6 linked regions of the Rattus norvegicus genome follow. The protein of the gene in region 1 binds, or shares a complex with, the protein of each later gene. Links are inferred from orthologs where the notes say so. Each region holds a gene or a part of one and is shown in the gene's direction. Other genes may lie near its edges.

Region 1 (2,470 bases):
GAGCATGAATATTTGTTATTGTTTGTTTACTTGTGTGCATATTCTAATTGAGATTTTTTTTCTCTTAATAATACTAAATTACATTTATTATTAGCTAAATCTGATAAATGGTCTTATTCCTATTTTAGTTGCAGCCAAACAAGGTGAATCTGACCCAGAAAGGAAAGAAACAAGACAGAAAGTAGATGATGACAGAAAACACGAGATAGAAGCTGCTATAGTGCGGATAATGAAGTCTAGGAAGAAGATGCAGCACAATGTTTTAGTAGCAGAGGTAAGGACACCGGAAGCCTGGGTCAACAACGTCATTGTCACACAGCACTGCTCACCAAGAACAAGATCCTGTGCATAAACACCTGCATATCAGTATGCTTTTATAAACAAATCACCTGTGTTTCTGAACATTAGTAACAGTCACCATTTTTTTAAGAGCTTTTCATAAGTTAGGAAGCCAATACCCATGAAGGGACCATTAACCTAGTTAAGACTTGAGAGGTAGAGCTGGCAGTTCATTAACCAATGATGGCAAATAAGGAGGATGACTTTAGCCTCCTGAGTTCCTCACTTGAGTAAGTAGACAGAAGTTGAGCCCCTTAACTACAGAGTGGTCCATATCTTAATTAATAATGGTTTGCATGGTTGATTTTTATTGTGTGCTGGCATATGCCTGGGTAGGAGTCAATTGTGGCACTGAAAGTTGGTTAAAAAGTGAGAAGTCCAGATGTTGAATTGGGAGCTCACATTGTATGGAAATATAGTCAGAACTGAGTCCATGTTAAATTGTTCGGGAGTACCATGGGAAAAAAACAACAGAAAAAAATTGCAAGAAAAAGCCCTACAGTTCCATATTCTGGAGCAATGAGAGTGCTTAATGAATGACACTGAGAAGAACCCTTGAAAACTGGTTTTAAAGAAGCTGTACTAATGTCATGAGTCTTAGAAATAGAGGTCATTGGTCCACCCAGACTTAATGAATCAGCACTTCCAGAGTCAGCACTCTGGCTCTAACAGGCTAATGGGTGATTATGAAGTTTAAACTGAGAGTTGGAGGTACTTTTGAAGGTTGATTGCAATTTAGACTCTGTAAGGAAGAAGAATAAGTGTAAAGTCTGTCTATTCACAGTCTATAAGATAGAGTTAAGGATTGGCAATTTCAAGTGGGTGGTTGCAAGATTTTTGTTGTTGTTATTTTTTTAATAAGTGGGTTGGGTAAATGCACTGTGAAAATGCAGAGAGGGTAAGGTTGGAAAAGAAACCTGCCAAGAACAAGGGTTTTGATACTAGAATGGAAATTGTGGAAGGATGATATATTGTAGTTGTACAGTTGGGTGCTAAAATTTCACATGTCAAAGAATTTCCAATAATTGCATGTTGGAAAAAAGCTTTGATCAACAAGAGTAAAAGAAAATCTGGCTAATGAGTCAGGGTGGATTATTGAAATGAGTGTGAGCTTTGAGGACAAAGAGGTTTGGACTCTCTCTGGTTCTGCTACTGATTGTCATTACCAACTTTTAATTTCCTTTATAAAATGAAACAGACTACATTGCAGTTAAAATTGTGAAAGTGTTTGTGTGTGTGTGTGTGTGTGTGTGTGTGTGTGTGTGTGTGTGTGTGTAGATATATATAAATATTATGTTAACAGACTGGCTGCTACAGTTGAACATATTACTGGTAGCAACATACTTAAGATCTGACTGCAGCTGGAGTAAAGAATGCCAGAAGTTTCTCTTAGTATTGGGTGCCATGCCATTGCTGTAAAGGATTGTTATCTGTCAACTCATCTCTGAAACCCTAGCTGGACTGAGATAATCAGGAATTTAAACCCAAGCAGTCTGGATCCAGAGCCTTTGCTTGTAAACACTACTAGGTTCTATGAACTGGGAAGGTAACCCAGAAGTTAATAATATCATCGAAATGATTAAATTATATGCTGGTATGTATTCAGAATGCTGAACTCTAACTAATCCTCATTAGCATCCATATTTTGACACATGGAAGTGTGCTCTAAACATCCAGTAAATTTTCAAGTAAAAGCTTTAATATTTGGTACTTTTTCCTGTCCAGTTCTTTTATCTGTTATGTTGAGGCTTCACATTCCCAAGTGCTTAAGATTATAGGTATAAGGCACCATGCCTGGTACTTTAAAAAATTTAAAAAATTTAGGTGTACAGTCACTAAATTTTTTAGCTTTAAAGTGGCATGTCCGCTCTAGTAGAAGATGGGGATTTTTGTTTGTTTATGTGGAAGTGTTTTAGTTAAATTTAGACTTTACCTTTTCTTTTTAGGTAACTCAGCAACTGAAGGCTCGATTCTTACCAAGTCCAGTTGTTATTAAGAAACGTATTGAAGGACTTATTGAGAGAGAATATTTGGCACGAACACCTGAGGATCGCAAAGTATACACATACGTAGCATAAAATGCATTCAGAAATTTGATTTATTCTTGGACTGTACTCTTCGCATGGACTGG
Region 2 (3,989 bases), on another chromosome or scaffold:
TGTAGCCCTGACTGTCCTGGGATCAACTCTATAGATCAGGCTGGTCTGAAAATTAGATTGACCTTCCTCTGTCTTGAGTGCTGGGGTTAAAGGAGTGTGCCCCCACTGTCCAGGTCTAGTAATTCTTAAATGAACTAATGGATGCATTGGGAAAGGGTGATGTCTATTCTTGGTTGTCAACTTGATTTTATCTGGACTAGCTACAACCCAAGCAGCTGAGTACACCGTGAGGAATTTGAGGTAGGAAGACCCACCCTAAATCTGGGCTACACCTTCTAATGGCAGACTACATAAAGGACCTGGAAGAAGGAAAGTTTTGCTTTTTGCCTGCCCTTAACTCTCACAGGTAGGTTTATTCTTTCACTGTCTTATAGCCAACTTGTGGGTTCCAAGGTATACTGAAGATCAGCGGAAGCATCTGGCCTCATGGACTGACAATTAGATTCATGGACGTTATGTCTGCAAATAGCCATTGTTGAACTACCCAGCCACAGCCTGAAAGTCACTCAAATAAATTCTATATGTGTGTTGAATGTATGTATGTGTATATGTATATGTATATATGTGTAGATAAGGGTTTACTCTATCAGTTTTGTACCTCTGGAGTGAAGAATATTTGAAGGGTATTAAAAAAAAAAGTTTAGGAAGAAATTTCCGTCGACTTGACAGAACTGAAGCTTAAAGTCCTCTCCCCTGAAATACATGGATTCTCAGTCTAGACAGGGATTCACATCTGTAGAAATTCCCCCACATCCACCGGGGAGTAAAAAAGGATTTCCTTAACACAGGGACGATTACATTGCAGGTTTGTAAAAAGATCAACAATGGCTATGATTCGGAAAGAAATCAGAAAGAAATCTTTTGTACTGAAAGAAGTATGTGTCATCTACAAGGATCTTCCTTAAGGAAAGCTCTAGAATAGGTCGTGTTGCTTTCTCCCAACTCTGGCCACCAGAGCAGAAAGGCAATAGTCTGTCCCTTTAAGAATCTGGTGGCAGTCGCTTTCCTCTCTCCGCCCCGCCTCCCGCGGCACCGGTGGCCTGGACGACCGTCCCTTTCTTCTCACACGGCTGTATTACAGGTTAGTCGGCCCATCCGTCACAGAGACACGGTCTATGATTGGTTGTTGGGTTTCGGGCCGCGAGGCGGGGCGGGAAGGCCGGAGAAACTAGTTTGTTGGCGGCGCCGGTGCGGTTCGGCTACGGGATCGCGGCCGGGACTGGAGAGCCGGCCGGGGACGGCGGCAGCGGCGGGGACTGCGGAGCCTGTGGGGCCCCACGGTGAGGACCAGGTCGGGACCGAGTCGACAGGGGGCGCCGTCGTCGGGAATTGTCACCGGGACAGCGAGCGACCCTGCGGGAGGATCGCCAGGCAGGGCGTGGGACCGAAGGCCCGGTTCACTGGGTGGGGGAAGTGGGTGTTGACCCGGGAGCGCCCCTCGGTCGAGCTTGGGGACCCCGTACTGTTATGTTCAGAGCTCCCGCCAAGGGAATGAATTGTTTTCCAAACGGATGTTACGCGCTGGAGAGGCTACCCTCCCTCGGGAGTGTTTGATTCATTGAGTCCGCTGATTATCTTTTTAAAAAAAATTACTATTGATCCTAGAAAGAGGAAGCTGCTTGTCTTCGAGGATTCGAACCGTGCTGCTTTGCGCTCGCACCTAGCCAGGGTCCCAGAGCTTTCCTTTGCCTAGCCAGGGCGGAGGGGTTAAACCAGGGAAGAGTAGACAGCAGGGCCTGGCCGTGTGGCCCGCTGCATAGGATCCTTCCTGTCTGGGAAGTTGTCTGTCAAGGGGAGTGGTGACACTCCCGGAGCCATACGCCCTTACCCACCCAGGTGGTGGCCCATCTGGCAGGGCTGTAGCAACTCATCCGCTCCCCGGCCGCTCCCCCTCCCCTCAACCCTCCTTCCATGCGTTGCCCTGGCGCGAGAATTCCGCTGTGGTCTGCAAATCCCCACTTGACTGGTCTCATAGTTGTATTAGAAGCTTCTTTTTCCTATTCGGGAATGGTGCCTACTGGGGTACCAGACACTTGGGTGCAAGTGCTTCAAGGACCTCAAAGTGGATTCTCACAGTCTTTAGGTTTCTTTTTTTTCCTTTTTTTTTTTTCCCGTTTTTAGTCTTGCTATGAAGTCAGCCAGTCTTGAGCGTGAAATCCTCTGGTCCCAGCCTCCTGAGAGCTGGGTTTATAAGCAAATGCCACCGTACCAATCCCAGAGAATTTCTAGAGACTCAAGCACAGGAAGCTGGGGGGAGGGGTGGACTACAGGGGCCTTTGTAGTTCAACTGTACTTTGGGGAGACCAAAGGCCAAGTTGCTTTGGCCAAGGCTTGTTGGGCACTAGTTCTCCCTCCCTGATGAGGCAGGATAAGGTATGCCAATTGTCTGGGCTATTCACCCTGTCTTGGAGTAGGACAGGGAGGGAGGGGGACTTGGCATCTGACCCTCTAGTGTGCTGAACCTTTCATAAGCGGCACAGTTATGCTGGGAGTACTTTTTATGGGTGTTGCTGAAAGCTTGTGTCTGGGGACAGAGGAGGGAGGCCCTATGGTGCTCTTATCCTACAGCAAGTAGGCTTGGTCCCTCTAAGACAGGGTTCTTGAGGTCACAGGCTTTGTCTGTGGAGACCGGCAAAGTCACTTTTGTCCCAGGCCCTGTAGTTATTGATATTTCAGTTGAGTCATTTGTCAGCCAGTGAGTCCAGGGAGGTTTTTAAAGGAATTATGGAGGATGGACGGATGAAACCTTTGTCATGGGCATCAAACTGGAGCTGGGTTCCCTGTACCATGCAGTACAAGGTCTGCGTGCAAGTTGCATGTTCTACAGTGGCTCGGTTTCCTGTTGATGGCATCCTAAGTCTGTGACACCAGTGTGGGGAAAGAAAAGTAGGAGGAAAAAATGTCCCCATGTGTGATGTGCAATGATTGATTGCATCTTTCCTGTCACTGAGAGGGAGGAGAGTGGCCTGGAACAGTGAGCATGTGATACAGAGGTAGTTTTAGTCAGATTTATCATTTGAGCAGACCTTACTGAGACCCTGCTTTTACAGAGAAGTGGGTGCTGGCTCATGGATTGGGGGCCCTGGCTCATAGGTTTGCAGAGCCCCGGTGAGCAGGGAAGCAGGGAGCTGGAGAGAAGGGTGAAGGTTTCCTGGAGAGAGAAGGAAAGCTGGCACACAGGCCCACCGAGCCTCCATTCTCTGCCCTGGCTGCAGCCGGTTTTCTAGCCATCTGTCCAATCTCTTCCAGGGCCAGCTCTAGGATGCTCGCTTTAGGCACAGGTGATTACAGGGAAAAGGCAGATGGGAGCTGACCAAAAGATTCATCCTTGGCTGTGACAGTGTGACACTGTGGGCAGCTGTGCAGGTTCATTTGAGGACCTGGCTTCCCGTGCAACTTCTGAGGGGCTCCTGCTCACCAGGTGCAGGGCCACAGACACACACAGACACAGACACACACAGACACAGATAGACAGACACACACACACACACACACCCCCTTCTAGAGAGAGTTGGCACAAGCCAACAGTGGTGGGCCACAAATGAATTGGCCAATTGAAATGCTAATGTAGTAAGTCAGCTAATGTGGTAAATTTCATAATTGAATTGCCTTGCTGATCTGCCAGTGAATCCTTTTCCAGGCCTGGAAACACTTGCAGCCCTGTGAGGATGGCCAGGCAGAGGCAGAACTTGAGCATCCACAGCTCCCAGAAACCACATCCCAGCAGGACTTGTGATGAGTCTGCTGCTCTCTGGCTGCCACTGCAGGCTTTTCTCCTTGTCTGCAACCGTGCCCCGTGAACCCTCTGCTGGGACCAGTTCTAAAGGCATCTGAAGCTGACAACTGCCGCCTGCCTTGCCAGGTGTCTCTGGGGCTTGTTAGGACACGGGAGCAGAAACTGAAGGGACAGGAAGGGACTTTGAGGTTGGCAGGGCTCCCCCTCAAGTCCCTTCAGCACAGGGTGAGTGGAAGGAGCTCAGTCTCTGGTC
Region 3 (4,041 bases), on another chromosome or scaffold:
TGAATTTACAGAAATCTGCCTACCTGACTCTGCCATGCTGAAATTAAAGGACTGTGCCACTATGTCCAGATTAAACTTTGTATAATTTATCGTTATAGGGGTGACTTATGACTCCCATATACACACAGTCAAGATGCGACAAAGCAGCCGCATAATTACAAGTTCCTTGGGCTCAGTGCTAGGTGTTCATAATGACCTTGGTCAACTAGATTTTCTTTGCATTATTATTACAGGGAAACAAAAATGGAGTGGATAGATACATTGTATATGAGCACAGCTAACTATATTTTATATGAGCACGCTTAACTATATTTTCTTTGTATCATTACAAGAAAGCAAAATGGGATGGATAGATACATTATACACGACCGCAGTCAACTAGATTTTCTTTGTATCCTTAGAAGGAAGCAAAATAGATACATTGTCTGTAATGCATTCTGAGGGCCCGTTAAGCCCCTCTACCAAACTCGTACTTTTAAATGGTCTCATGTCGTTCATACGCTCCTCTTAAACTTTGAACTCAATCTGGAATTCCTGAGATATCCTTTCTCCAGCCTCCTGCCAGCTGGGATTAGAGGCGTCTGCCACTTTACCTGCTTTTTGTCTTGTAGCCACCCCTATTCTCGAGACTGGACATGGAAGTTAGGAAGTAGACAATTCTGAACGTTTTTTGGTTTTGTTGTAACACGTATCTTCAAGCAAATCTATAATTTTTTTGCTTGCTAACAAGACACGGCAAGTTATAAATAACAGGCATAGACCACAAGCACTTGCTGCTTCAAGGCTCTGCTTTGAAATCTGGGGAATGGAGGGGACAACTGCAGCTACAAGCGCCGCTGAATAGAACTTTCCGAACTGCTTTTTCCAGGCCACGCCTGAGGCTGGGTGGCCCCACGACCCCGCTCCACGCACGCGCCCTAGCTGCCGGGCGGTAGCCCGGGAAGCCCCAACACAGACGCCGGCGTCACCTCGCACCGCCTCCGCCCTTCCTGCTTTCCGTTTCCTTCCCGCGCCTGCGCGGCTCCGATTGTTTTGGCTTTCCGGTGGGGCAAAGGAAAAGGGCGCGGTGAGCCAGATGAAGGCGGGGTCCAGGCGCGGACATCTGGGAACCGGCAGAGCCGCTGCTGGAGCGGGCCAGGGCGCGGGCGCGGGCCGCAGGCCGTGACGGCCCAGCCCAGGAGGCGCGAGGAAGCGGAAGCGGGGGCGGAAGCGAGCGGCCCGGATCCCCGCAGCGACACGCCCCCGCTGTGCGTGCGGCCGCGTGAGTGCAGCCCGGCGGAGCGGCGCGGTGAGCTGGGCGGCCGGGGCCGAGGTGAGCCCGGTCGGACGCGAGGTGGGCGGCCTTTGTGGGCCGGGGCGGCGGCGGCTTTCAAACTCCGGCGCTTCCGCCGAGCGCGCGGTGTTTCCGGCGGGGCCTTGCGCGGGCCGCGGGGCTCGGGGCGGCGTCCTTCCGAGGCAGAGCTGTTTTGCCCCGCTCGTGTCGCGGCAGCTGAAGACCGGCGACCGCGTCCTTGCCTTTTTTTTTTTCTTTCTTTCTTTTTCTTGGCACATCGGCAGTAACTAAGAGTTAGCCAGGTTAGCCGGGGTTCTGTTGTCCTCGGCCTGCGTGTGCTCTACTGTGGGAAGGGGAAGCTGCCCTTTGAAACCTGTTTGTTTTAGAGGGAAATCGTGGGTTTGAACTGGACTCATCTTCTCCTGCTAAATCAGAAGACCGTTGAATAGACTGTTCGCTGCCGTAGTGCAGTTGTTTTGAGTTAACGTGTGCTCTCCCCCACTTCCCGCCCCATCAAACTCCTGGCCTACTAGTTTTAAGATTTCTTTTTATAGCTACTTAAAGGAAAGGAAATACGTATTCTCCGGGCTGCAGCTCTCTAGAATTTCCTTGGTGGCCCCTCGTAAGTTAAGCAAGAAACTAAGATAGTAAACTTGATAGACTTTGCTTTGTGAACAGCTATATCAGCTTTGTAAAAGACTGGGGAAAAGACAGTGCTGGTCACGTGTTGTTTATACATGAATCTGTAAGTCTGGCTCAATGAGCAGACACTAAAGAACAGTCCTATCAGGAGAATGCTCTGACTGGAATTATATTTTCTTCCTGTGAGTTAATACATTTTACTTATCTTCTTTTCTTTTGCGTTGTGAATTGTTCCCCAAATTTGAGTAATATAGACCATGTCGGCCTTTGGGTAAAGCTCTTATTTGTAACCTAAGGTCTATTTGAAAAGTCAAGTCAGTTGTTTTTCCCAGTCTCTGTGATGTGAAGTGTTGTTGCTCTTTTTGTCTGTCTGATAACGTTATGCCTTTCTGCTTTGCTCTTTTGTTAGTTAAGCGCTTTTTCAGGTTCTTTTAGATCAGGGCCAGAAATCTTAGAGGGTATAATTCTTGGCAACTATGGCTTTTCCGTTGAGCATACTTTGTATGTAGTCCGTGTGTTTCCACGCTGTTATTTCCTCTATTCAGATAAGTACTGTAATTATTCTCCCTTTTATTTCCATAAGCGCAGTACTGTAAAATGTTAACTTTTCACTTAAGGAGATGACAGAAATAAAAGGAGTCATGGTAATTAATTAGTGAGGCCACTGTAGAGTTTTCTTTTTAGCTAGCAGAAATAATGAGAATTTCTTAGTTTCTATGCTTTGAATATTGAATGTGTTTTAGATGTTTGTTAAATTCCTAGAAACCTGAGGTGTGTCTTGAGGTATACTGTATTAATAGTGTAACCCAGGCTTGCCTTAAAATCCTGCATCAACCTGGAGTTGCAGACTAGTACTAGCATACCATGCCCTATTGAATACAGTCTTGAAAGCCAAAAGATACCTGGTTTTCCACAGATTTGCATGCGATTTAGTAAACTGTTGACCACCCCCCACCCACCCCTTCTCAGCCATATTCCTAAGACAGTTGGGGCTGAGAAAATGATGAGTTTTGCTGTCCTGAAACGCGTCTTGTTATCCACCAGTCTTGCCCTGTTTTTCAGAGTTTGAATAAAGCAGATACATATGGAACTTGAGTAGTTAAGAGCGTTAGTCAGGTTGGTCTCAAGCACTTAGGTGTAGGAAGGAAGGTGTTCTTGATGTTTTGGGACGATTGGAGTCCCTAGATCCTTTTATGGGAAGGAGAGGTGGTCATGGGATAGTGAAGACAATGAAGTGTAACAGGACCATCTTTCTTTACTCCACTCATATAAATGACAGTGGTGACTCGTAGTGCCTTTCATTGCAAGCAGGGGCTTCCAAGAACTTTACCTTTATGGTTCACTTATTTTTGTTACACTGGGGATGCTAAGCAAACACCCTACTTTTATTACTGAGCAATAGCCCCAGCCCTTGTTTGTTTTTTAAGTGACAGGATCTTGCTGGGTAACCTAAGGTTGGCCTGAGCTACCAGGATGCATTTCCTCCCCTGCCCGCTTTTGGAGAAAGGGCACACTCAGCATCAAGTTTTGAGTTCTATATTTCTGTAAGGAAACACATTTTAGTATTAATTAATTAGTAGTAATTAATGTTAAGGGGCTCTACCCCTTATACTCTATATAAGAATGTGAGTATCCAAGATGATACTTGCATAACTTGGGGTATCAGGAATGGCAAGTTGATTTAAACAATGTTGTTACAAAGTTACAAAAACAGTTCTTGGTTCTCTTGTCAGTAATTGTTTTCTGTTGTACTTGGAGGAACTGACCCAAGAAAACAGTGTTAATGGAAAATTTTGGGTCAGTTTTGTATCAGCCAGGCCCCGCCCCTTCTTGAGACTGAGTAAAATGGAGAGGTAAAGGAGTGATAATTCAAAATGGCATCCTGAGCTCAATGATTCTGTCATAGGCCCTGGGTAACTTACTGACCATACTGTAGTGTAAGAGCTTGTCCTTATGCTTCAGTTTACATAAGTACGCATCAATAACCTGTCTGAGCTGGGAATAAAGGAACATGTAGGAACAGACCTGAGCTCCAAGGTTTATTAGAGGAGGGAAAATTACTGATGTCAGATTTGCCATATTTTAAAAGCAAACAAACAAAAACCCCAGCCATTCTCAAAACCCTT
Region 4 (4,173 bases), on another chromosome or scaffold:
TTCTGCCCTTCTCTGCCTCAAGGCTTCTCCCCACTGTTCCATAGACCCAGGGTGTTCATAGCTGAGACTTGGGAGGCCATAGCAACTATTGAGTATGGCAAAGATGCTGCCATACACTTTTTCCACTTGTTTTAATGCAAAACCCAACATAAACTGATGGTGATGCCAATGGGTGTAGCGCCTCTTAGGCAGAGTGTATGATAAGGGTCCTGACAGATTTGACAGGGCTAGGACGACTCTCAGAACCTCTGAAGATAAGTGGCTTCTGGCCTAACACTTGAGGGTTGTAGGTTAGAATGTGGAACAATGGCCTTGGAAGGAAGCTCTTTCAAGCACGTTTGCAGCGGTAAGCAAATGAACTAGCCAATATGCATACCTGAAAATTCCCTGTAATTCATTTCTTCCATATGAAGAATCCAAACTCTACAGAAATTTTTACAAATGGCAAAATTTCCCCTCCTCATGTAGTCCACCCTAGTTTAATCATCTGGGTTAGTGACTGCAAGTGGGTCACTGTGCAGGCGAAAGCCTCCATTATGACCATAGTGTGATTGAACATGGCACAAATCAAAAACTGTTACAGTATTTAGAGCTGCTGCGGCTATTCCCTAGCCACGTACAGTAGGATGAATCAATAGTCTATTGCTGTCATTCAGGTTGGTGGCAGTCAGTTAGAACATATGTAATATTCTCTACCTGGTCTGTAGCTGTAACTGTGATGTACAGGCAAAGGAAAAATTAAAAATACTTATGAAAACAGATAATGCAATGATACTAGGATATACACTTTTGTATTTTTATTCTTATATAAGGTTATTTGCTGGCTATTGTCGGCCTCTAGTTCAGTCTGTATTATTTAAATTCTAATATATGAATTATTTGGATTGAATTCATGTTTGGGGCCACGTTGTATGTATTGATGTACAGCCTTGAATGTGAATAATTATTGTAAACTATATTTTACAACTTTTTTCCTGGCTTTATTATATAAATTTTCTATTTGGTCATGGTTTAATCATATAATTTAATGAAACAACTTCTTTTTTTTTCAAATATCTGTGCTTTAGATGTAATTACCGGATGATGGATTTCCCTCGTATGCTCGGTAGTCTTGTAATAAAAGCATGTAGAGTGTACACTTTCTTCTGTCCTGGATTCTCTTTGGGTGGGGGCGGGTCTTGAGCTTAGGATGCCCGTGAGAACCCGAGGCTTGCTCCAGCCGGAAGCTGTAATCTCCGGTCTGCTTTTCGAGCCGGAACTTCCGTCTTGCACATGAGACCTGGGCGGGCACTTTATTGGGGCGTACTTATGGGCGGGCCAACTCGGGGGACTGTATTAAAGAACGGACGCTTCCGGCGAAGGGGCGCTGTGGCGGGGCTTGTTAGGATCATGGCGGAGAATCACTGCGAGCTGCTACCGCCGGCTCCGAGCGGCCTCGGGGCGGGGCTGGGGGGCGGCCTGTGCCGCCGCTGCAGCGCTGGGATCGGCGCCCTGGCTCAGCGCCCCAGTGGCGTGTCCAAGTGGGTCCGTCTCAACGTCGGCGGCACCTACTTCCTCACCACCCGGCAGACGCTGTGCCGGGACCCGAAGTCTTTCCTGTACCGCTTGTGCCAGGCGGACCCCGACCTAGATTCGGACAAGGTGAGGGCCTCGCGGGTCAACAGGGGTCTGGCCGCCCTGGTAGCCACTCGCGGCACACACCTCTCTCCACACTGAGGGCGCCCAGCGAAGCGGACATACTCAGCCTAGCGTCCTGGGCCGGGGGAAGGATGGCACTCTTGTACCCACCTGCCTCAGGTTTAACAGTGCTTCTCTTGCTTTTCATGTTCTTCGGTCGAGAAAGACCCAAGCTTTGCTGTGTCCCTACTTTCTTCTCCCTAGATTGTTTTGCCCAGGGTGTGTGACTACCACCGCCCAACTATTTGCTGGCTTTGGAACCTGAGAGCCCTTTGCATTCATCTGGTCTTTTCACATTCCAGACGTTTAAATAAACGTAGGCCATAAGGGTTGCCACAGTGGCTACCCTTTTTCCAGTGACTTGCAGAGTTTGTGCTTCATCCTTCTCATCCATAATAAGAACAGGCATCGCAGCTCTTAGAAGGTACCTCCTGAGTAAAAATGTTCAAGGGTGTCAGTTTACTTCTAATATATGAATTATTTGTATTGAATTCATGTTCGGGGCCAGGTGTAGAAAAACCTTAGGATTGTGAAAGAGAGACCAGGTAGAGAGAATCCTTTTCGATCTGCTTTTCAGACTTTGTTTCCCCACTGCCTTTGAAAAGAGTAGGAATTTCCAGCTTAGTTTGTGGTTTGTTTAGTTTTAATTTAATTAAACGCTAATACTGTTATACCTGTGGTAATAGAAGGTATTTCGATTATTATCATTACAAAAGTTGTGTGATATATTGCATAACTGAGAAATAAGTATTGTGCAGGACCGAAATATAGGGAAAAATCGTTCTCTCCCCTTTCCTCCTAGACAGTTTACTGAGTTTTCTGGTTCAGTTTACGTGATGGCACTTGATTTTGTGCCTTGCCACCTGAAAGTTTCCACTCAGGAGGTTTTCGAGAAAGATTGGAGCCCACTGCACTTTAAACAGCTTGACAGAGCACCTTCACAGTGAGGCCTGGCATTATGATCAGGAAATAAGAATTCTTGAGTTACTGCAAAATAATCACGAAGTTAGGGTTTGAGATATACTGTGGTAGTCCCTCATATCCTTCCTCCCAGCTGTTCCCATTTCTGAGTTGACCAAATCTCTTTACTCGTAGAGAATTGACCTCCTAGAAGATGACAGAAGTCTGAAGGATAGAAATAGGCTTTGGTCATTGGTGTTTTCTTTTTATAGTTGAGGCTGTATGTTTTACTGTTGGTTTTTCAAACAGTGGGCATTTATAATCATTCTTGTCTTTCTACTCAAGCATCTCTGTCTTAAATCAGATTTTAAATTTTAAATCAGCCTTGGCCATTGGCTTCTGGTGTCTTTTGCCTACTTAGCACTGGAACAATGGATCTAGAATTGTTTGACTTCTGCACAGTTCAAGTCAAATATATCTCTTCATTTTACTGTCTTTTAAGATTATTTTATAAGTTATCCTTTATTGTGCTGGTGAGATGGCACAAGCTGCCAATCAAGCCTGACAACTTAAGAGTCTCTAGGATCTACAAGGTGGAAGGAGAAACACTTGACTGAAAAGTTATATTCTGAGCTGAGCAGTGGCCGTGCATACCTTTAATTCAAGCACTTGGGAGGCAGAGGCAGGCAGATATATCAGTTTGAGGCCAGCATGGTCTACAGAGGGAGTTTCAAAACAGCCAGGTTACACAGAGAAACACTGACTCAAAAAACAAAACAAAACAAAATAGCTGGAGAGATGGCTCAGTGGTTGAAAACACCGGCTGTTCTTCCAGAGACCCTGGGTTCTATACTCAGCACCCACATCACAACCGTAACTCCAGTTTCAGGGGATCCGAGACCCATATTGACATATGCAAGCAAAACACTAATGCACATAAAATATGTCATTAAAAATTCATATACAAAAAGCCTGGTGTGGGAGTGCACTGCTTTTAATCCCAGCACTCAGGAGGTAGAGGCAGACGGATTTCTGAGTTCCAGGCCAGCCTGGTATACAGAGTGAGTTCCCAGATAGCTGGGGCTATACAGAGAAACTGTCTCAAAAAAAAAAAAAATTGTACAGTGAATTTTCGTTGCTTGTTATGGTACTTGTGTGCCCACACACATACATAAATAAATGTGTGTGTGTGTCTATGTGGATATGCGTTTTTTCTTTATTGCAATGTAAGATTATCAGAATATATTTTAGTTGCTTTTAAAAGTTTATTATTGGGGTTGGGGATTTAGCTCAGTGGTAGAGCGCTTGCCTAGGAAGCGCAAGGCCCTGGGTTCGGTCCCCAGCTCCGAAAAAAAGAACCCCCCCCCCAAAAAAAAAGTTTATTCTTTAGGAACTAGAGAGTTGGCTCACTGGTTAAGAACACTTGCTCTTACAGAGGACCCAGGTTGGATTCTCAGAACTTCTCATAGTGGCTTTTAACAATCTGTGATTCCAGGTCTGGGGAGTCTGACACTCTCCTTTGACCCCTTTGGCATCAGGCACATACATGTTACACATAACGCATGGGCATTTAAAATACTCATACACATAATGTAA
Region 5 (3,500 bases), on another chromosome or scaffold:
ATCCTTCTTTTTACAGATACCAGAAATTATCCACTTTTGCTGTGATTTCCTCATGTCATGGGTCGATGAGGAGAACATCCTTGATGTTTACCGGCTGGCAGAGCTCTTTGACTTGAACCGTCTGACCCAACAGCTAGATACCTACATCCTCAAAAACTTTGTGGCCTTCTCAAGAACTGACAAGTACCGCCAGCTTCCCTTGGAGAAGGTCTACTCTCTCCTCAGCAGCAATCGCCTGGAGGTTTCCTGTGAGACTGAAGTGTATGAAGGGGCCCTGCTCTACCATTACTCCATGGAACAGGTGCAGGCTGACCAGATCTCACTGCATGAACCCCCCAAGCTCCTAGAGACTGTGCGTTTTCCCCTGATGGAAGCTGAGGTCCTCCAGCGGCTGCACGACAAGCTTGGTCCTAGCCCACTGAGGGACACAGTGGCCAGTGCCCTTATGTACCACCGGAATGAGAGCCTGCAGCCCAGCCTTCAGGGCCCACACACAGAGCTTCGCTCAGACTTCCAGTGTGTTGTGGGCTTTGGGGGCATTCACTCCACACCATCTACAATCCTCAGTGACCAGGCCAAGTACCTGAATCCCCTTCTGGGAGAGTGGAAACACTTCACTGCCTCTCTAGCGCCCCGAATGTCCAACCAGGGCATTGCAGTGCTCAACAACTTCGTGTACTTAATTGGAGGGGACAATAATGTCCAAGGATTCCGAGCTGAGTCCCGATGCTGGAGGTATGAAAGGGCACTTGTCATCATTGCCTTTATCCTTAGGCAGCTCCAGGTGCGGGAGTTGTGGGTTTTACATGAGTGTTAACAGCTTTTCTGGGCTATCCCTGTGTCATGTAATGGAGTCCAGATGAATCCAGACAAAGTGGACCACAGTGAAATAAGGAAAAGGGCTCAGATTGCTTTCTCGCCCCCTGACCTGCTGTCCAGAAACTCAGTCACCCTGAAGCACAGCCACCTATCCTTGCTGTCTGCAGAAGGTCACTGGCTGCCTGTGCTCAGGGAGCATGCCTTATTCAGTAAGGGGCTGGGGCAGTGGCTCCTGCCATCTTCAGTCTGCCTCTTCAGTGTCCTTTTTTCAACGTCTCTGCTCTTTTTCTCCATATTGCCAGCCAGGATGTCTCTCAGATGCTGCCTGCTGGAGCCCACATCTGAGTACAGAGAGTGGGAAGGACCAGTAAGCATCATTGAGCCTTCACTAAGTTCCCCGTGGGCCTGTAGTCGGATGAGTATGTACTCAATAAATACTCTGGGAGGAGGCAGTTTTTCTTGAGGGAGTTTTGTGAACTGATTTGATCTGCAGGTTGCTTCTAGCTGTGGTCCCAGAGATCCATTTCTTTGGACAGAACAAGAGACATTAGTTTAAGTCTCCAGCTACCAATGGATTTTAAGGGGCCTTTTCTCTTCATTATACCTTGGTGTATGTGGGAACCCCTGCCATCCCCGGTGCCTACTACAAGCTAAGATGATGTTTTTAGAGAGCAGCTCTGAGCTGAGTGCCGATGTAATTCACTTTGACATGCAAGCTGTGTTTTTGGCTGTAAGGGTAAGGCTGGATTCTGCTCTGGCCCTGCCACATGAATCAAGAAAGCACAGTGACACTGACCAAGAAGAAAGCAGGCATTTCTTGGTCATTTCTGTTCTCTTGGCCCTAGGAAGCAGTCATCTTCGGTAAACTGATGAGACTTAAACCTACCTATAATACATAACGGTTAGATGGTTGGGATTGCAGAGTTCAGAAAGAAGGAAATGACTCACTTCCCTTCTAACTGAATCCTGTCTTCAGTGAACATGGATGAATTTGCGTTCCCTCAGGTCAAGCCTGCAAGCTTCTTTCTTGCAGGGCTCTGCCTCTAGCTGTGGGATTAGGTTCAGACTGCCCTGCCTTAGCTATTCAGAGCTACAAAGCAGACCTCTCCAAAGCACTGACAGCTGGGAGCTGAAGTTGGAGCATGGCAGGTGGGATCAAAGGAACAGGAATTTACAAGGTTGCTGTGGCAAGGACCAGGCCCTGCGTGCCAGCTGACTAGGGTGTCTGTCATCTCTGCCAAATGAAAACTTCATTTACTTCCTAGTCATCTCAAGCCTTACAAAGCTAGGGTTACGGCTCAGTGTTTAATGTTTCCCTAGCTTGAGTAAGTAAGGCCCTGATTCCACCCCAGCACTGTGTGTTTTTGTTTTTGTTTTTGGTCAAACTCACTAGCTGAGTAGTGAGGATGATCTTAAAATCCATGGCCATTCTGTCTTCACCTCCCGATTGCTGGGAAGTGGCTGAATCCCTAAAATAGATTTTTCTGAGTTTGTTTCTTTTCTGTATTCATAGTTTACCAGATTTAAAATCTATAAGCTCTTAGAATGTAAGAAAACATTATTTTATAGTAGATAGAGTATTGCAATCTGAGGACATACTGCTTAGCAAATATGTTCTAGAACTCTGATGTTGAACCTGTAAGAAATGGTCCTGTGAAGCAAATTGATTTGCCTTTGTTTCCACTAGTTCTTTTATTTTCTTTCTTTGAATTCATATATACAAAGTGTTTTGGCCTCATATCACTACTATGAAATATCTAAAGTAACTAGTTGATAAATAGAAAACATTTATTTACTGCATACTTTGAGAAGTTTAAAGTCCAACCAAGACCATGCAATTTATGCAGTATACCCTCTGGTTTGTCCTATGTTCCTATGTGAGGGTAGATGGCAGCGGAGGGAGCACTGAACCTATAGTCACATTGTGGTCCAGGAAACAGGAGGGAGAGCAGAGTTACACAGTGTTGTTTAAAGACAGGGTAAGAGAGAGAGAGAGAGAGAGAGAGAGAGAGAGAGAGAGAGAGAGAGAGAGAGAGAGAGAGAGAGAGAAAGAAAGTGGGGTAGTAGTGGTGTCCTCCTTTAATCCTGGCATTCAGGAGGCAATGGCAGGTAGAGCTCAGAGTTTGAGGCCAGCCTGATCTACAGAGTGAGTTCTAGGACAGGCAGGCTTACACCAAGAGGGTGGTAGGGTGTTCTTATTTTGCATTCCTGGCTGGCCCAGAACTCTATAGACCAGGTTGGCTTTGAACTTGGAGCAGTGCTCTGCCTCCACTTCCCTGGTGCTACAATAAGAGAGGTATGTGCAGCTGTAATAGGTTTCACTATCTCTTGGGTGTGTTTTCCAGTGATCCAAGCAGGTCTAGAGTACCTCCCCAAACGGTCACTTTGAGGATCAGGTTTATCTTATGGTTACTATTGCCGTGATGAAACACCATATACAAAAACACATTGGGGAAGACAGGGTTTAATTCACTCACATTTCCATATCACAGTTCATCATCAAAAGCAGTGAACGAAGGAATTCCAACCGAGCAGGAACCTTGAGGCAGGAAGTGATTTAGAGGCCTTGGAGCATTGCTGCTTACTAGCTTGCCTTCTATGGTTTTCTCAGCCTGAGTTACAGAAGCCAGGACAACCAGTCCAGGGGCAACCGCATGCACAATGAGCTGGGTCCTCCCACA
Region 6 (4,300 bases), on another chromosome or scaffold:
TTCAGATTCCAGTCCAGCTGACCTCACTGTGGTAATGTGACCCTGGTTGAATTGCCTCTCTAATGAGAATCATTCTCAAAGGTTGGCTTTCTGGTTTGTTTTAAAAGGCAAGAGAATACCAGTTGAAGGCGTGTCTCTGGTCTGCAAACAAAACTTCCATTGGTAAAGATTCTAAAGAGCCAGAGACTAAGAGCCTGTTCTTCTGGTGACTCACTGAATCCTGCCTTGTTGCTGATGGAGGCTCAGACAGAGCCTGGTCCAGCCTCTTTGAAGTCGGCCTTCCCAGAAGCCCCCAGACCAATGTCTAATGGTAGCCGTGGCACGTTGCCTTGCTGTAGTCTACTAGATCCTTGCCTCTCACCTGAAACCCTCCTCATACCCCAAACACCAAGAGTGACGGATGGGGAACAGAAACCTGCCAAGAACGATTCCAGGCCTGTCAATCACAGGGCAGTTAGTGTCCTGAGTTTTTCAGAGTGTCCAAGAAAGTAACGAAGTATAGCAAACCCCAGGTCCGTGTGTTGTGTCTCTTTCCCATAGGAAGGCAGAATCCTGATAGGATGTTCTCTGTACTTCGTAGCTCCTTACCCTTGCGTGTATTCTGCAGACTATAATGACTTACAGCCCCCTCTTGGTGAAGCAGCCGACAGATATAGTAATACTGAGGAATGCAAGCTGGGACATCATGGGGCAGACACCATGCTTCACTACAGACCTTGGAATCCAGCCTTCCAACCAAGTGTCCCGCAAAGGAACACAGGAAAAATGTCCTTTCCCAACAGCTATGGCAGGGATGGGGGTAGGTTGGGATGAGAATGGGAAAGTGCTACCCAGAGGGGACAATCATCTCCATCCACTTGCCCCTTTTGCTGCCATCTCTGGTGCTGGGGTCTGAACTCTCTCTGGAGCCCCCTCCAAGCCACTGCCTGCCTTCCTGTCTGTCTGCAGGACCGGTAGTCACTGCAAGACTGTCTGTCCTGTCCATGGAGTTGATAACTCTTCTAACAAATTCGTTAGCCCCAGAAATCCGTTATTGCACCTTTGAATCACACTGCAGGTGCAAAATCTCTCAGTACTGACTGGCCTAGGAAAACTCACACAGGCAGGGACTGTGGGGCTGCGGGAAACACCAGAAGATCAAGTACAATGACTTTTGCGCAGGGGGAGAGCACCGCGAACCGACACGTTTGTTTGTATCCTAACATTGCTTGACAGTGGTTAAGAGTGCATACTGCTGCTGCGGAGGACAGGAGGACTCGGCTTCCGCGTAGGGCAGCTTACAACCGTCTTTACCTCAGGCTGCAAGGTGATCTGCCGCCTTCGGCTTCCCGGCACCTGCATTCACGCGTACGAACCCACACAGACACAAGGATTATAGACTCAGAGAGGCCGTTTACTTCGAGGGCGCGTGACGCACCGGCGGGGCTGAGCCCAGGGCCCCGAGCGGCGGAAGGAAGGAAGCGCTAGCGCAGGCCGGGCTCCGCGGAGGCTGTGCGCCCGGGGGAGGAGCCTGAGCAGCCGGGCGGCGGGCGCAGCGGCCCAGCCATGTCGGCCGAGGAGATGGTGCAGATCCGCCTGGAAGACCGCTGCTACCCGGTGAGCAAGAGCAAATTGATCGAACAGAGCGACTACTTCCGCGCTCTCTACCGCTCCGGCATGCGCGAGGCCGTGCGGCCCGAGGTGGGTCCGGAGGTGCAGCAGCTGCGCGGCCTGAGCGCTCCGGGCCTGCGGCTGGTGCTGGACTTCATCAACGCGGGCGGCGCGCGCGAGGGCTGGGGCCTGAGCGAGGACGAGTTGGCCGAGGCCAGCGTGCTGGCCGAGATGGTGGAGGCCGCGTCCTTTCTGCAGGTCACGGCGCTGCTGCGCTTGCTGCTGTCGCATGTGCGTCTGGGCAACTGCCTGGAGCTGTACCGCCTGGCGCAGGTGTACGGGCTGCCCGACCTGCAGGACGCCTGCCTGCGCTTCATGGTGCTGCGCTTCCACCAGGTGCTGTGCCAGCCGCAATTCCCGCTACTGCTGTCGCCGCCTCAGGCCCCCGGGGACTGCAGCCTGAAGCAGAGGTTGCGGGAGGCCCGCATGCGCGGGACCCCGGTCCTGGTGGCCCTGGGGGACTTCCTCGGGGGACCCCTGGCTCCGCACCCGTATCAGGGGGAACCCCCGTCCATGCTTAGGTATGAGGAGACCACAGAGCGCTGGTTCCCCCTGGCCAACAACCTGCCCCCCGACCTGGTGAACGTCAGGGGCTACGGCTCAGCCATCTTGGACAACTACCTCTTCATCGTGGGTGGTTACAGGATCACCAGCCAGGAGATCTCGGCCGCACACTCCTACAATCCCACCACCAACGAGTGGCTGCAGGTGGCTTCCATGAACCAGAAGCGGTAAGTGCAAGGGGGTGGGGGGTTCTGCACCCTTCATTCATTGCCCTGGCCAGAGGCGATGGATGGCATCTCACTTAGTGCTGCTAAGTGCTCCACCTCTGGTGGAGTTCCCAGTGAGCCCAGGGCTTGCCAAGAAGACAAGCCGTGTATCAGCTAGCCTAGTGGTCTTCTTACATGTGCAGGCCCCAGGTAAGAAGTTTTTCTGCCTCAGAAGAGCTTGCAGAGAAGGCTATTGAGAATTACGGAGGCACTAGCAGTAACTGGTAACTCTAGCTTGTTGTTGCTGATGGCGACTTTAGATCCTTCTCACTTGGGTAGGAGAGAGTGCATCCACTCTCCCTAGGACGATGTAAGGGATCGCCATAGAGCATTCTCTTTTCTTTTCATTCTCTCTTCATTTGTTTCTTATTACCTCCTAAGACAGCAATCATCTTTGACCCAAAACTTGAGCCTGGAGCGGTCAGCTACAGAATGGGTGTGCCCTTGTCTCTCTGCGTCTGTTGTCTACCTGGGAGGCCTCAGACACCCCAGTCTGGGTGCCTGAGTCCTTTGTGACTGTAGCATTAGCATATACATATAAACCCTACATGTACACATACACCTATACATATATACATTAGCATAGAGCGTATGTATATACAACCTCCTGCATATGTTCAGGTGGTTTTCCTTTATTTTCGTATGCTCCTCAGGCTGGTCTTGCAGACCTGCCATCCTCTGCCATCCAGCCTTCAGAGAGCTGTTACTTATGACTTCGAATGTAACACATTTACCACGTCAATGGTTGTCAGATGGCATTGGTGAGGGAATGACAAAAACCAGTGTGTACTGTTCAATTTCTCCCTCTTACTGTTAGAAGATGTGTTCCTTTCCACCTCACCCATCTTTCCCATCCTTCGAAGTAAGGAAAAGAGAGAATGAAAGCAATATAGAGAAGCAAATAAAGGAAGAGCTGGGAAAGAAGACACCAGGAAGAGGAAGGGAGTAAAGGCCGCAGTCCCAAGTGGCCTGGAGGAGAGGTCAGGGCTTGTAGAGTGGGCCTGTTGCCCCAGCTGCTTGGAAGGCTGAAGCAGACAGATCCCAAGTTAAAATTCTTTCTGGGCTTCAGAGTGAATTCCAGGCCAGCCTGGATAATGTAGCAAAACCAGAAAGAGTAGGGGAAAGGTGTCTCAGTGGGAGAACGCTAGTCTAGCAATTAGGAAGGCTCAGATCTCACATTGGATGCCAGTGTCCTAGAAGTGGAAAGAGTAACCACACAGGACAGACACACTCTTCTCTCCCCACTTCCCTCCCCTTACCCCTCTCTCCCTCCCCTTCTTTCTTTTCCTTCCTTTCTTCCTTCCTTCCTTCCTTCCTTCCTTCCTTCCTTCCTTCCTTCCTTTCTTCTTTCTTTCTTTCTTTCTTTCTTTCTTTCTTTCTTTCTTTCTTTCTTTCTTTCTTTCTTTCTTTCTTTCTTTCTTTCTTTTTCTTTCTTTTTATCTTGGAGGCATAGTTTGTCTTCATAGTCCTGGCTGTCCTGATTCTCACTCTGTAGATCAGGCTGGCCTTGAACTCAGAGATCGTCTTGCTTCTGCCTTCCAAGTGCTGGGATTAAAATTGTGTGCCGCTGCCACCCAGCTGAGGCTAGGTACTTTTTACCAGGCCCCCTGATGCCATCCAAGACCCACTGTGGTCTCTTCCAGGTCCATAACAGGAAAAAGGGACCTTTAGGTCAGAGATTATTTGCAGAAACATACCTTGTTCTGATGGCTCAGAGGTTAAGAGCGCTTGCTGTTCTGTGCTCAGCATCCGTATCTGACACCCCTTGACAGTCTTTACAGGCACTTACATACACTGGCACACAAATAGACATAAAATAAATCCTAAAAATCCTGGCAAGCTGAAGTGTGAGAGGCAGAGCTGAATGCTCCCTTCCAGAG

What was found.
Region 2: Cul3 (region 1) and Klhl25 share a complex: the UniProt entries of both Homo sapiens proteins name them as parts of the BCR(KLHL25) E3 ubiquitin ligase complex. The link is inferred for Rattus norvegicus from reciprocal best matches to the Homo sapiens genes CUL3 and KLHL25.
Region 3: Cul3 (region 1) and Kbtbd2 share a complex: the UniProt entries of both Homo sapiens proteins name them as parts of the BCR(KBTBD2) E3 ubiquitin ligase complex. The link is inferred for Rattus norvegicus from reciprocal best matches to the Homo sapiens genes CUL3 and KBTBD2.
Region 4: the proteins of Cul3 (region 1) and Kctd5 are in contact, whole or in part, in a cryo-EM structure (PDB 8U83), measured with the Homo sapiens proteins. The link is inferred for Rattus norvegicus from reciprocal best matches to the Homo sapiens genes CUL3 and KCTD5. Residues at the interface, in NP_003581.1 of Homo sapiens: Thr24, Met25, Asp26, Glu27, Lys28, Tyr29, Val30, Asn31, Ser32, Ile33, Trp34, Asp35, Leu36, Leu37, Asn39, Ala40, Glu43, Asn48, Ser50, Leu52, Ser53, Glu55, Glu56, Leu57, Arg59, Asn60, Ala61, Tyr62, Thr63, Met64; in NP_061865.1 of Homo sapiens: Trp45, Phe55, Leu56, Thr58, Thr61, Arg64, Asp65, Lys67, Ser68, Pro96, Thr97, Tyr98, Phe99, Gly100, Pro101, Leu103, Asn104, Tyr105, Leu106, Arg107, His108, Gly109, Lys110, Leu111, Val112, Ile113, Asn114, Lys115, Leu117, Val122.
Region 5: the proteins of Cul3 (region 1) and Klhl22 are in contact, whole or in part, in a cryo-EM structure (PDB 8K8T), measured with the Homo sapiens proteins. The link is inferred for Rattus norvegicus from reciprocal best matches to the Homo sapiens genes CUL3 and KLHL22. Residues at the interface, in NP_003581.1 of Homo sapiens: Thr14, Arg17, Ile18, Arg19, Ala20, Phe21, Pro22, Met23, Met25, Asn49, Ser50, Gly51, Leu52, Ser53, Phe54, Glu55, Tyr58, Tyr62, Leu66, Met118, Asp121, Ile122, Met124, Tyr125, Arg128, Val129, Gln133; in NP_116164.2 of Homo sapiens: Asp73, Tyr74, Arg76, Gly77, Met78, Gly81, Gly82, Leu83, Lys84, Glu85, Leu92, Ile93, His94, Leu117, Gln121, Val125, Cys128, Gln129, Gln131, Pro133, Trp146, Glu150, Asn151, Asp154, Val155, Arg157, Leu161, Phe162, Asp163, Ser165.
Region 6: Cul3 (region 1) and Klhl42 share a complex: the UniProt entries of both Homo sapiens proteins name them as parts of the BCR(KLHL42) E3 ubiquitin ligase complex. The link is inferred for Rattus norvegicus from reciprocal best matches to the Homo sapiens genes CUL3 and KLHL42.

The regions. Positions count from the first base shown.
Region 1 is NC_086027.1:89,042,958-89,045,427, reverse strand, and holds part of Cul3 (cullin-3), read left to right. Parts: intron 1-128; coding exon 129-274; intron 275-2,285; coding exon 2,286-2,417; 3' UTR 2,418-2,470. UniProt on the Homo sapiens protein: Core component of multiple cullin-RING-based BCR (BTB-CUL3-RBX1) E3 ubiquitin-protein ligase complexes which mediate the ubiquitination and subsequent proteasomal degradation of target proteins.
Region 2 is NC_086019.1:139,133,517-139,137,505, forward strand, and holds the start of Klhl25 (kelch-like protein 25), read left to right. Parts: upstream 1-1,189; 5' UTR 1,190-1,280; exon of another isoform or gene 1,281-1,291; intron 1,292-3,989. UniProt on the Homo sapiens protein: Substrate-specific adapter of a BCR (BTB-CUL3-RBX1) E3 ubiquitin ligase complex involved in various processes, such as translation homeostasis and lipid synthesis.
Region 3 is NC_086022.1:87,377,600-87,381,640, reverse strand, and holds the start of Kbtbd2 (kelch repeat and BTB domain-containing protein 2), read left to right. Parts: upstream 1-1,241; 5' UTR 1,242-1,312; intron 1,313-1,352; exon of another isoform or gene 1,353-2,097; intron 2,098-4,041. UniProt on the Homo sapiens protein: Substrate-specific adapter of a BCR (BTB-CUL3-RBX1) E3 ubiquitin ligase complex that acts as a regulator of the insulin signaling pathway, modulating insulin sensitivity by limiting PIK3R1/p85alpha abundance in adipocytes.
Region 4 is NC_086028.1:13,606,963-13,611,135, reverse strand, and holds the start of Kctd5 (BTB/POZ domain-containing protein KCTD5), read left to right. Parts: upstream 1-1,373; 5' UTR 1,374-1,389; coding exon 1,390-1,641; intron 1,642-4,173. UniProt on the Homo sapiens protein: Its interaction with CUL3 suggests that it may act as a substrate adapter in some E3 ligase complex. Does not affect the function of Kv channel Kv2.1/KCNB1, Kv1.2/KCNA2, Kv4.2/KCND2 and Kv3.4/KCNC4.
Region 5 is NC_086029.1:96,712,016-96,715,515, reverse strand, and holds part of Klhl22 (kelch-like protein 22), read left to right. Parts: intron 1-16; coding exon 17-735; intron 736-3,500. UniProt on the Homo sapiens protein: Substrate-specific adapter of a BCR (BTB-CUL3-RBX1) E3 ubiquitin ligase complex required for chromosome alignment and localization of PLK1 at kinetochores.
Region 6 is NC_086022.1:181,733,732-181,738,031, forward strand, and holds the start of Klhl42 (kelch-like protein 42), read left to right. Parts: upstream 1-1,500; 5' UTR 1,501-1,545; coding exon 1,546-2,381; intron 2,382-4,300. UniProt on the Homo sapiens protein: Substrate-specific adapter of a BCR (BTB-CUL3-RBX1) E3 ubiquitin-protein ligase complex required for mitotic progression and cytokinesis. The BCR(KLHL42) E3 ubiquitin ligase complex mediates the ubiquitination and subsequent degradation of KATNA1.